2 linked regions of the Saccharomyces cerevisiae S288C genome follow. Changing the gene in region 1 together with any one later gene gives a genetic interaction. Each region holds a gene or a part of one and is shown on either strand. Other genes may lie near its edges.

Region 1 (8,251 bases):
TAATAAATGATTCATCTTCCAACAGCTTGCGGGGAAAGTTTTTCACACTAATGTGCGGTGTTGTTTTCCTTAACAGGCTCTGAGCAAAATATGGAGAGAGAGGTCTCATTTACTTTGCCATTCTTCATTTAAGCTTGAGGCTTGTTCTACTGAAATGTTAAGTTCTCAGAAGCCAACTTTGGATCAAAGGGCTTTGTTAGTAGCAAAACGCTATTTCTATTGATTTTGATTATTTTTCGAAACATTAAGAGCACAATGTATATTAATTTTCCCTGATGAATAGTTAAGATGATTAGATGGGCTAGGCGCTTAAAAATGAGAAACAGGTGAAATTTGAGATAAATGTTGATTTCGTTGTTGCTAAAGGCTATAATATCAGGTATACAAAATATACTGGAAATATACCTCGAGAATCTTGGAATCCACGAAAGGGAATAGATATTACTCCATAATAATATTATGTTGGAACGAGAGTAATTAATAGTGACATGAGTTGCTATGGTAACAATTCAATGCTTACATCGTATATTAATGTACAACTCGTATACGTTTAAGTGTGATTGCGCCTATTGCAGAAGGAATGTTAAACGAGAAGCTCAGACAATACTGAAGCTGTGTTAAAGACCTATTAGTTGAACATGTTATGGTAGGTACATATATGAGGAATATGAGTCGTCACATCAATGTATAGTAACTACCGGAATCACTATTATATTGGTCATGATTAATATGACCAATCGGCGTGTGTTTTATATACCTCTCTTATTTAGTATAAGAAGATCAGTAATTATTTCTTCATTAATACTAATTTTTAACCTCTAATTATCAACATATTATTTCTCCTTTCGTTTTATCTGATGTCATTCATTGATTGCCAGCAACTATCCCAAACCTCATGTGATTCTCGGATTCCTTACCACGAAAAAACAGATGTGTAAGTGTATTTGAACACACAATAATAAAAATGATTATCATTCCCAGATGGAGGAGCCCATTCCAAACATAGCAAAATTCAGCACATCCTCTTCGTTAGCATTTCCGTATGGAAGCAACCCTCAGTCCAACAAATACCGTTTAAACAAATGAGCGACATTTATTCGCTTTTTCTAAAATAAAGGTCCCCGCTGAAACTTCTTTGCATACAGTTCAAATATTCCACCGTTCTCTTATATGTGGGGCTGGCACTACTTCGTATAATTGACTATACTATCTATATTAGTCTTCCCACATGTAATAGAAAGCTCGTATGGCGCAGTGGTAGCGCAGCAGATTGCAAATCTGTTGGTCCTTAGTTCGATCCTGAGTGCGAGCTTCTTTTTTTTTTTGCAATCCTTATTGAACTTTTTTTCTTGCTGCAGTCTCCTCAAAGGCAACATGTTCTTTGCTTTTTTTCCCCAACGACGTCGAACACATTAGTCCTATGGCTTGCTGCAGATAAGGCTACTATGTGTATTGGCAATACCCTTTTTAAAATTGGCAGATCTCTTATGGCGATCGCCGAACGCCAGGTTGTTAGCTAACTGCAACGGCACGCATCTTTGGCTGCATTTCGCCTCATCATTTACGCGCTTTTCCAGGCTTTTTCCCCTTATCAGATAAGATAAAAAAACGAACAATAAATAAGCTTCAGATAAGATAAGCAGGAAAGCGTTCCTAGCCCTACCGAGAAATGTGCGTTTATAGTTTGGTGCCTCTTTCTTGATTGACGCTCTATAATGAAACCAATATGCGTTCATTCCCCTATTTCATAGGGCACTCTGTTCGCAGTTAGCGCAAGCCATTGAGATAAGACACGCAGATGTTTTGCTTTTTCCTGCTTCTTAATTTGAATCGAGCTTTGTTAGACGTTGTTGGAAATTGAATGTTTGTATTTAAACACTAGAGCAGATGAGGTGTGAGATTTGTATACTCGCTCACTTCTGAATATCAGGCTCTCTTAGCTAAGCTTTTTTTTTCTAGGATCATATAGGCTCAAGTTTTTATAAGCTTATATTAATATATCAGTGGAGCAGCTGATATACACCAAATTTCAATTTACATTAATATAAAAGATAAAAAATAGAAATATCTTTTTTATAGTCACAATAAATTTCAGTTTTGATTAAAAAATGACAGTTAGTTCCGATACAACTGCTGAAATATCGTTAGGTTGGTCAATCCAAGACTGGATTGATTTCCACAAGTCATCAAGCTCCCAGGCTTCACTAAGGCTTCTTGAATCACTACTAGACTCTCAAAATGTTGCGCCAGTCGATAATGCGTGGATATCGCTAATTTCAAAGGAAAATTTACTGCACCAATTCCAAATTTTAAAGAGCAGAGAAAATAAAGAAACTCTACCTCTCTACGGTGTCCCTATTGCTGTTAAGGACAACATCGACGTTAGAGGTCTACCCACCACCGCTGCATGTCCATCCTTTGCATATGAGCCTTCCAAAGACTCTAAAGTAGTAGAACTACTAAGAAATGCAGGTGCGATAATCGTGGGTAAGACAAACTTGGACCAATTTGCCACAGGATTAGTCGGCACACGGTCTCCATATGGGAAAACACCTTGCGCTTTTAGCAAAGAGCATGTATCTGGTGGTTCCTCCGCTGGGTCAGCATCGGTGGTCGCCAGAGGTATCGTACCAATTGCATTGGGTACTGATACAGCAGGTTCTGGTAGAGTCCCAGCCGCCTTGAACAACCTGATTGGCCTAAAGCCAACAAAGGGCGTCTTTTCCTGTCAAGGTGTAGTTCCCGCTTGTAAATCTTTAGACTGCGTCTCCATCTTTGCATTAAACCTAAGTGATGCTGAACGCTGCTTCCGCATCATGTGCCAGCCAGATCCTGATAATGATGAATATTCTAGACCCTATGTTTCCAACCCTTTGAAAAAATTTTCAAGCAATGTAACGATTGCTATTCCTAAAAATATCCCATGGTATGGTGAAACCAAGAATCCTGTACTGTTTTCCAATGCTGTCGAAAATCTATCAAGAACGGGCGCTAACGTCATAGAAATTGATTTTGAGCCTCTTTTAGAGTTAGCTCGCTGTTTATACGAAGGTACTTGGGTGGCCGAGCGTTATCAAGCTATTCAATCGTTTTTGGACAGTAAACCACCAAAGGAATCTTTGGACCCTACTGTTATTTCAATTATAGAAGGGGCCAAGAAATACAGTGCAGTAGACTGCTTCAGTTTTGAATACAAAAGACAAGGCATCTTGCAAAAAGTGAGACGACTTCTCGAATCAGTCGATGTATTGTGTGTGCCCACATGTCCTTTAAATCCTACTATGCAACAAGTTGCGGATGAACCAGTCCTAGTCAATTCAAGACAAGGCACATGGACTAATTTTGTCAACTTGGCAGATTTGGCAGCCCTTGCTGTTCCCGCAGGGTTCCGAGACGATGGTTTGCCAAATGGTATTACTTTAATCGGTAAAAAATTCACAGATTACGCACTATTAGAGTTGGCTAACCGCTATTTCCAAAATATATTCCCCAACGGTTCCAGAACATACGGTACTTTTACCTCTTCTTCAGTAAAGCCAGCAAACGATCAATTAGTGGGACCAGACTATGACCCATCTACGTCCATAAAATTGGCTGTTGTCGGTGCACATCTTAAGGGTCTGCCTCTACATTGGCAATTGGAAAAGGTCAATGCAACATATTTATGTACAACAAAAACATCAAAAGCTTACCAGCTTTTTGCTTTGCCCAAAAATGGACCAGTTTTAAAACCTGGTTTGAGAAGAGTTCAAGATAGCAATGGCTCTCAAATCGAATTAGAAGTGTACAGTGTTCCAAAAGAACTGTTCGGTGCTTTTATTTCCATGGTTCCTGAACCATTAGGAATAGGTTCAGTGGAGTTAGAATCTGGTGAATGGATCAAATCCTTTATTTGTGAAGAATCTGGTTACAAAGCCAAAGGTACAGTTGATATCACAAAGTATGGTGGATTTAGAGCATATTTTGAAATGTTGAAGAAAAAAGAGTCCCAAAAGAAGAAGTTATTTGATACCGTGTTAATTGCCAATAGAGGTGAAATTGCCGTTCGTATTATCAAGACATTAAAAAAATTGGGTATTAGATCAGTTGCAGTTTATTCCGACCCTGATAAATATTCTCAACACGTTACTGATGCAGATGTTTCTGTACCCCTTCATGGCACAACCGCAGCCCAAACTTATTTAGACATGAATAAGATCATAGATGCCGCTAAGCAAACTAATGCACAGGCCATTATTCCTGGTTATGGTTTCTTGTCGGAAAATGCGGATTTTTCTGATGCGTGCACCAGTGCTGGCATTACCTTTGTTGGTCCTTCGGGAGATATTATCAGAGGTTTAGGGTTAAAACATTCTGCTAGACAGATTGCACAGAAGGCTGGCGTTCCTCTAGTGCCAGGCTCTTTGCTTATCACATCAGTTGAAGAGGCTAAGAAAGTCGCAGCGGAATTGGAATACCCAGTTATGGTGAAGTCAACTGCTGGTGGCGGTGGTATTGGTTTGCAGAAAGTCGATTCTGAAGAGGACATCGAGCATATTTTTGAGACTGTGAAACATCAAGGTGAAACATTTTTCGGTGACGCTGGTGTATTTCTGGAACGGTTTATCGAAAATGCCAGGCATGTTGAAGTCCAACTTATGGGAGATGGTTTTGGTAAGGCCATTGCTTTGGGCGAACGTGATTGTTCTTTACAGCGTCGTAACCAAAAAGTTATCGAAGAAACTCCTGCACCAAATTTGCCAGAAAAGACGAGGTTGGCGTTAAGAAAGGCAGCTGAAAGTTTGGGATCTTTATTGAATTACAAGTGTGCTGGTACGGTTGAATTTATTTACGATGAGAAAAAGGACGAGTTTTACTTTTTAGAAGTTAATACAAGATTACAAGTTGAACATCCAATAACAGAAATGGTTACAGGGTTAGACTTGGTCGAGTGGATGATCAGGATTGCCGCTAATGATGCACCTGATTTTGATTCTACAAAGGTAGAAGTCAATGGGGTTTCAATGGAGGCACGTTTATATGCTGAAAATCCATTGAAAAATTTCAGACCTTCTCCAGGTTTACTTGTCGATGTGAAATTTCCTGATTGGGCAAGAGTGGATACTTGGGTTAAGAAAGGTACTAATATTTCTCCCGAATATGATCCAACATTGGCCAAAATTATCGTTCATGGGAAAGACCGTGATGATGCAATTTCCAAGTTAAATCAAGCGTTAGAAGAAACAAAAGTTTACGGATGTATTACTAACATTGACTACCTGAAGTCTATCATTACCAGTGATTTCTTTGCTAAAGCAAAAGTTTCTACAAACATTTTGAACTCTTATCAATATGAGCCTACCGCCATCGAAATTACTTTGCCCGGTGCACACACTAGTATTCAGGATTACCCCGGTAGAGTTGGGTACTGGAGAATTGGTGTTCCGCCCTCTGGTCCAATGGACGCATATTCGTTTAGATTGGCGAACAGAATTGTTGGTAATGACTACAGGACTCCTGCCATTGAAGTAACGTTGACTGGTCCATCCATCGTTTTCCATTGTGAAACTGTCATTGCCATTACTGGTGGTACCGCTCTATGTACATTAGACGGCCAAGAAATTCCCCAACACAAACCGGTCGAAGTTAAGAGGGGATCTACTTTATCCATTGGCAAGTTGACAAGCGGCTGTAGAGCATACTTAGGTATCAGGGGTGGCATTGATGTGCCTAAATACTTGGGCTCTTATTCTACTTTCACTCTAGGAAATGTCGGTGGATACAATGGAAGGGTGCTAAAACTTGGAGACGTACTATTCTTACCAAGCAATGAAGAAAATAAATCAGTTGAGTGCCTTCCACAGAATATTCCTCAATCATTAATTCCTCAAATTTCCGAAACTAAGGAATGGAGAATTGGTGTAACATGTGGTCCCCATGGGTCTCCAGATTTTTTTAAACCTGAGTCCATCGAAGAATTTTTCAGTGAGAAGTGGAAGGTTCATTACAACTCCAATAGATTTGGTGTCCGTTTGATTGGACCTAAACCTAAGTGGGCAAGAAGTAATGGTGGTGAAGGTGGTATGCATCCTTCAAACACTCACGATTACGTTTATTCTCTGGGTGCAATTAATTTCACGGGTGATGAGCCAGTTATTATTACTTGCGATGGTCCTTCCTTAGGTGGTTTTGTGTGTCAAGCTGTTGTCCCAGAAGCAGAACTGTGGAAGGTTGGACAGGTTAAACCCGGTGATTCCATTCAGTTTGTGCCACTTTCTTACGAAAGCTCGAGATCCTTAAAGGAATCTCAGGATGTTGCAATTAAATCATTGGATGGTACTAAGTTAAGGCGCTTAGACTCTGTTTCAATTTTACCATCATTCGAAACGCCTATTCTTGCACAAATGGAAAAAGTGAATGAGCTTTCACCAAAGGTTGTATACAGACAAGCAGGTGATCGTTATGTTTTGGTGGAATACGGTGATAATGAAATGAATTTTAATATTTCCTATAGAATTGAATGCCTGATCTCCCTTGTGAAAAAGAATAAGACTATTGGTATTGTTGAAATGTCCCAAGGTGTTAGATCTGTATTGATAGAATTTGATGGTTACAAAGTCACTCAAAAAGAATTGCTTAAAGTATTGGTGGCATATGAAACAGAAATCCAGTTTGATGAAAATTGGAAGATAACTTCTAATATAATAAGATTACCGATGGCTTTCGAAGACTCGAAGACTTTGGCATGTGTTCAAAGGTATCAAGAAACAATTCGTTCGTCTGCTCCATGGTTGCCAAATAACGTTGATTTCATTGCCAATGTAAATGGAATTTCAAGGAATGAAGTTTATGATATGTTGTATTCTGCCAGATTTATGGTTTTAGGTTTAGGTGATGTCTTCCTAGGGTCGCCTTGTGCTGTTCCATTAGATCCTCGTCACAGATTTTTGGGAAGCAAGTACAACCCAAGTAGAACATATACAGAAAGAGGTGCAGTCGGTATTGGCGGTATGTATATGTGCATATATGCTGCTAACAGTCCTGGTGGGTACCAATTAGTGGGTAGAACAATACCAATTTGGGACAAACTATGTCTGGCCGCATCTTCTGAGGTTCCGTGGTTGATGAACCCATTTGACCAAGTCGAATTTTACCCAGTTTCTGAAGAAGATTTGGATAAAATGACTGAAGATTGTGATAATGGTGTTTATAAAGTCAATATCGAAAAGAGTGTTTTTGATCATCAAGAATACTTGAGATGGATCAACGCAAACAAAGATTCCATCACAGCATTCCAGGAGGGCCAGCTTGGTGAAAGAGCAGAGGAATTTGCCAAATTGATTCAAAATGCAAACTCTGAACTAAAAGAAAGTGTCACAGTCAAACCTGACGAGGAAGAAGACTTCCCAGAAGGTGCAGAAATTGTATATTCTGAGTATTCTGGGCGTTTTTGGAAATCCATAGCATCTGTTGGAGATGTTATTGAAGCAGGTCAAGGGCTACTAATTATTGAAGCCATGAAAGCGGAAATGATTATATCCGCTCCTAAATCGGGTAAGATTATCAAGATTTGCCATGGCAATGGTGATATGGTTGATTCTGGTGACATAGTGGCCGTCATAGAGACATTGGCATGAATTACCTTTTGTTGGCATCTAAAATCAAAGGAGCACTCATTTAGTCTTTATAGCATGCCTTTTTCTAGCTATTTTTAATGACGAATATATATGTACATAGTATTTACTGTAAAATGTATGAAAAGAAGCTTAAAATTATTACGTGTGTTTGTTATGTTCTCAATTTGCTGAACCACTGCTATCAATTATTAGGGGCACAGAACTATCTTTGGACCGTCTTTGACTGTCTGGCTCTGATGTGCTAGAGTTGAGTTCAGAAGTATGATGTTTGAGATCGAGCGATGCCTTGGCAATGCTTAATCTTTTCATAATACGTTTCTTTTGCCAGCTAATAGGTAGATATGGGATATATCCGTATTTTTCTTCTATCATTAGCAGTTTCAAAGCGCATATTAATACCAACCAGTAGGCGTTGTAGCTAATTACAGAGCCGACGGTAGCACTATTCGTCCAACCAAAAATGGCAGTAAAAATCATCCAACCTCCATCTTTTTCACCATTGCAACAATTAACATGCCAAACAGAACGAGATATGTCGTACGAACCGGGTCCATTTCCTACTTCACTCATGTCTTGACCGTTACATTTGTTGACGTAGTCTTGCAATTCAAGTTGCCATACACCTTTGGAAAACA
Region 2 (4,686 bases), on another chromosome or scaffold:
TTGCTGCTGGCACCTCCACTGATTCGTAATTGCTAGCCGTTATTGAGTTCTCAAAATGTTCCTCCTCAGAGCTTTTGTTAATGATGAAAAATGAGCCTAAGATGAGGGTAGCACCAAATAAATAGAGCGCAGACATGGTTTTGTGCTTAAAGATTACATCACCAAACATTGCTAGGGGTATCGTTATGCTCAATCCTACGGTGACGGTTAAAGGACTCGTTAGTAACATAGCCTTTGCCCAACAAAAGTCGCTAACAAATGTGATGAGACAATTGACGAAGATTATTACCACAACTTTAGGATCTTTGGGCAGAGAGAATGGTTCCCAGCCAAAAAAGTCCAATACAATCAGTGATGGCCATAGAAAAAGTAAATTAAAGAGACCAACAAAGCCAAAAAAAATCTTCATGTTAACACGAGTCTCATCTCCGACTTCTCTCTTCAATAAAGTACTGTAGACACCGTAAAGTACAGCACCTGCAAGTGCCAACAAGTTGCCTATCAGAACTTGCACGGCATCGTTATCATCACCACTAACGTCCGCGATATGGCGTTGGTAGCGCTGATGAGAATCTGATTTGGTGACCATGATTATGCCTACAAAGGAAATGAACGACCCGAGTACTTTGGACTTGCTCAACGATTCAACATGACAAATAGCACCTATGAACAAGGTGAAAAAGGAAGAAGTAGTGGAGAGGATTGTCTGCGATGCCACCGATGTGAATGCCAGCGAGGCATTGGTCACAAGGTTAGCTGTGAACCAAAGTATGCAGAACTCAGCACTTAACTTGATTGTTTCATATAACGTTAGCCTCTTCTTTTGGTTGGCATGCGTGCCTGCTTCAAGGTTTGTAAGCAGTGGGCTAGTCATATCAACCGAGCGATTGCTATCACTACCAGTACCTTCTTCCTCCATAATTAGTTCGCGGTGAACGTTTGCACGGCCTGTGTCCTTGTAATTCACCACAACGGCCTTTGCAGTTGGAAAAAGATAAAAGATAAAGGCGGCAGTATTGGTGTACGTGATAAAGAATGGTTTTCTATACGAGTCATCCTCGAAGATCAAATTTATCAGGAAGGACGATAAAACCCACAAAATAATGACTAGACCCAACATCAGAAGACCCAAGGTCCACCTCTTATTAAAGGACGTTTGATCCTTCGACACCATGGCTCTGTTGAACTTTTATCTGAGAGAGGAAAAAAAGGAAGGAAAAAAAAGAAGAAACTTCCTTTATTTATTTGTCTTAACCACAACACACAATGCAATAAGATGCAATATAATATCAAAGCCAATATCTTATGTTGCTGATCCTGAGAAGGAATATATACAATTTATGTAGTAAAATACCTTTTCTTCTGCGAGTTGCAAGAAATAGAAAAGACTCCGATTGCGCATCGCCAGAATAAAATTTCACAACCACACTTTTTGGCTGAACTTTTTATTACCTGATTAAACAGAGAGAGAAAAGGTAGAGGTCAAAATTTTTTAAGCAAAACTAAAAAAGATGCAAAATCACGTGCTGAAAATCTAACATAAGGGTTAAGATTAGAGTTTTATAGGACTTGTTTTGTAATATTTCAAATACGAGCTAACCCTACTGATTTCAATTAGGTCTAATTTAGGGTTGAGCTGCACTGAAATTTCGGAAATTTTGGGTTATTTTAAATGAGACAGAAGAACTACAGAGATACGTTCTTCAGACTTTAAAGCTTATCTCCACAAAGAATTGGTCAAGAAATCATCCTAGAAAAACACGTTTGCTCACTCGATCTTAATCACATAGAGTGCTGGAACGGGAAGAAATGGGTATGTGCCTCGGTTTTTCTCATTAACCCCTTTTGATCCATAACGGTCCTCTTTTGTTTCCTTTTTTTTTTTTGTTTTAGTATTTTATGTTTACTATTTTCTTCTGTTTCAGTCATACGTAGGAATTATTGCATGAAAGAGGATATAATATTCATGTGGATTTTTAAGAAAATAGATCAAGTTTAAATAGCCACTAACAATTGAACAATGCTCTCTCTTGGCCTCTTTTCTTCTTTTTTATCGTTTCTCTAAAAATCAAGCTGATTAGACATGGTCTTGCAATGTTTTTGCTTTCTCTAATCAGCTTGGTTTTCCGCAAAGAAGAGAAAGTCACGGAATTGTCTACATATGTTTCTATTCAGGAACAAATAATACATCTAATAATAATGGCACTACGAAGAAAATGTCCCTAGAAGAATTTCTAGGGAACGACACTTTAGGCGAGTCAGTATGGGATGAGGAAGATATTAATTTGGATGCTATAAGCAATACTACGAATATTGACATCTTGAAACAAACCAAGGCAGGCGAACATCAACGTGATGGTCACCAACAGCACCCACACGGTGGTCATGGACCCATGAACAGATCACGTTTTTCTAATGCAGGGCCTTTTGGTGGTGGTAGCATGGGGGACTTTGCAAATCATCACCACCCGCTGCAGCATCAGCAAGGTCCTCCTTATATTGTGAAGTTTTCTGATTTACCACCGAGATTTTCCAACTTTGACATTGAAGATCTTTTTCAAGCAAAGTTTACCAAGTTTATTAAGTTCAAACTGTTTTGGGAGATAAATAAAAATCCAAGTATTTCTACTTTGAAATCGGGGTCAATCTTTGATCAAAATTTCAAACGTGACTCGAAGGTAGCATTTGTCGAGTTATATACATCCCGTGATATGGACAAAATTTTGAACTATTGGACCACTCCTTTGAAGGAAATTTACCACATTACAACAGCGCCCGCAGAATTCGAAGATTTTAAGGATTACAGCACGAAGGTGAAATTATTAACAGACCCTAAAGACGATGCTGGCAAACCATTCATTACTAAGACTCAGCGGTCAAAATCCAATCCTTTTGGAAGTGCTAAACCGGTTGATACGCAATCGAAGATTTTGGACATTGAAGAAAAAATGGAAAATTTACACGTGGAAGATACAACAACCCTGAGGGCATCATTAATCCCTAGTAGTGATTCTATGGCAACCACTGCAACAGGCAGCAAGATCACAATCTTGAAAAAGCAGACACCTACAGAGGAGGAATCACATTCTGCAACCCCAACTCCCAAACCTTTAAGTTACTCTGAAGTAGTTGAGAGATCTGTGGTCAATGAAACTTCCAAGAAAGGAACTCCATTAAGCAAGCTTGACTCACCAGCTCTTGAACTACAATCTAAGCCCGATAAATCGGACGAGTTCAAAGGTGGCGATGAACAAGGCTTTGAGAAAGGTGGCGACGATAAAGCTCAATTAGATGTCTCAAATGATAAAGATAAAGGTTCAGAAACCGATGTTGATAAACAGTTCACTTTCAAGAATGTGGAAAGGGAACATAGTATGAGCAGAACCAAATATAACGGAAACCATAATAACAATAATGGCAATTTTAGAGGGAGTAATAGATATCGTGGAGGCCCCAATGGCAGCAGTTATAAAGGTGGGCATAACAATCGTGGTAATCGCGGCGGATATCGTGGTGGCAGCTCATACAACAACAACAACAACAACACTAATGATAATAATAATAATAATAATAATAGTAGTAGTAATAATAATAACGGTTCAAGATATCATGATCGACAAAACAATGAAGAAGGGTTAACCTCGGATTCATCTTTAGATGCCTCAGGAAATAAAAAGAATGATTTCACGAACTCAACATCCAATACACAACAATATTCCATTTTCAAACCAGCAAGTGGGTTCCTTGGCCAAGGTAATAATGATTCTATAAGGAACAATGGACGCGGTAACTATAACAGCAGCGGTATGAATGGAGGTTCGAGAGGAAGAGGATTTGGCAGAGGAAGGGGATTTGGCAGAGGCGCATATAACAATCGAGGTAGTCGTGGTGGACGTGGAAGCAGCGGTAACTACTCCAACTACAATAACAGAACAACAGACATGCCTTTATGAGTCATGTACTGACCCATTAATTTTCTTTTCTCTTTTTTTTTTTTTTTTTTTTTTTTCCTCTATTTCCTTTTTTTGTTCTAGTCGGTTACGCAGTTCTGAGTAATGTAATATAGCGTTCCTTTTCCTCTCAGATTTTTTTGACCTTATTTTGTTTCCACTTTTTACTACTTATGCTGCTTTTTGTCCATTTCCCCTTCAGTTGTTTTGAATTTTTTTTTTAAAAAAAATTCGTCTTTCTGATTAATCAATTTTGATTATATATTTTCTCTTGATTAGTTCACAATTTTTATAGGCCCTTATTTCTTAAAGAAGTTTTATGAAGTTTCGTAAGTATTGGGGGGGTTGAAAATAATCTCTCACGTTATACGCAATAAAAAATTAAAATTAAGGAGAACCAATCTATAGAAACGAACCATTGAATTTAGCTATATGACTATATACCATTACGTAATTTATATAAACAGCTTAATATAGCGAAAGCAAAGTAGAACGAAATTTCGGAGAGTTCTAGATTGTATAGAGCGAATGAGCATTCAATACACACGCGAAGGCAGTAGGCGATGAAAGGAAGTTTTTTAATGTCATTAAGAAAAAGATAGGGAACTTCTATTTCCTGTCTTTCATATATATATATATATATATATATATATATATGTGCATATGTACATCGTTGAGTTGTTCATGAAATAATGAATATAATACTTCTGGATTTTTTAGTCAGTAAATTTACTGT

What was found.
Region 2: mutations in DUR12 (region 1) and PSP2 together harm fitness more than expected from each alone (negative genetic interaction), as found in Saccharomyces cerevisiae (one large-scale study listed by BioGRID).

Annotation. Positions count from the first base shown.
Region 1 is NC_001134.8:636,068-644,318, reverse strand, and holds DUR12 (bifunctional urea carboxylase/allophanate hydrolase), read left to right. Parts: upstream 1-2,108; coding exon 2,109-7,616; downstream 7,617-8,251. Other genes in the region: YBR209W (uncharacterized protein), read right to left, coding at 1,419-1,736; FTH1 (Fth1p), read right to left, coding at 7,776-8,251. UniProt on the Saccharomyces cerevisiae protein: Hydrolysis of urea to ammonia and CO(2).
Region 2 is NC_001145.3:234,779-239,464, forward strand, and holds PSP2 (Psp2p), read left to right. Parts: upstream 1-1,809; coding exon 1,810-1,813; intron 1,814-2,175; coding exon 2,176-3,953; downstream 3,954-4,686. Other genes in the region: YML018C (uncharacterized protein), read right to left, coding at 1-1,174; PPZ1 (salt homeostasis regulator), read right to left, coding at 4,680-4,686. UniProt on the Saccharomyces cerevisiae protein: DNA polymerase alpha mutation suppressor. Suppressor of group II intron splicing defects of a mutation in MRS2. May play a role in mitochondrial mRNA splicing.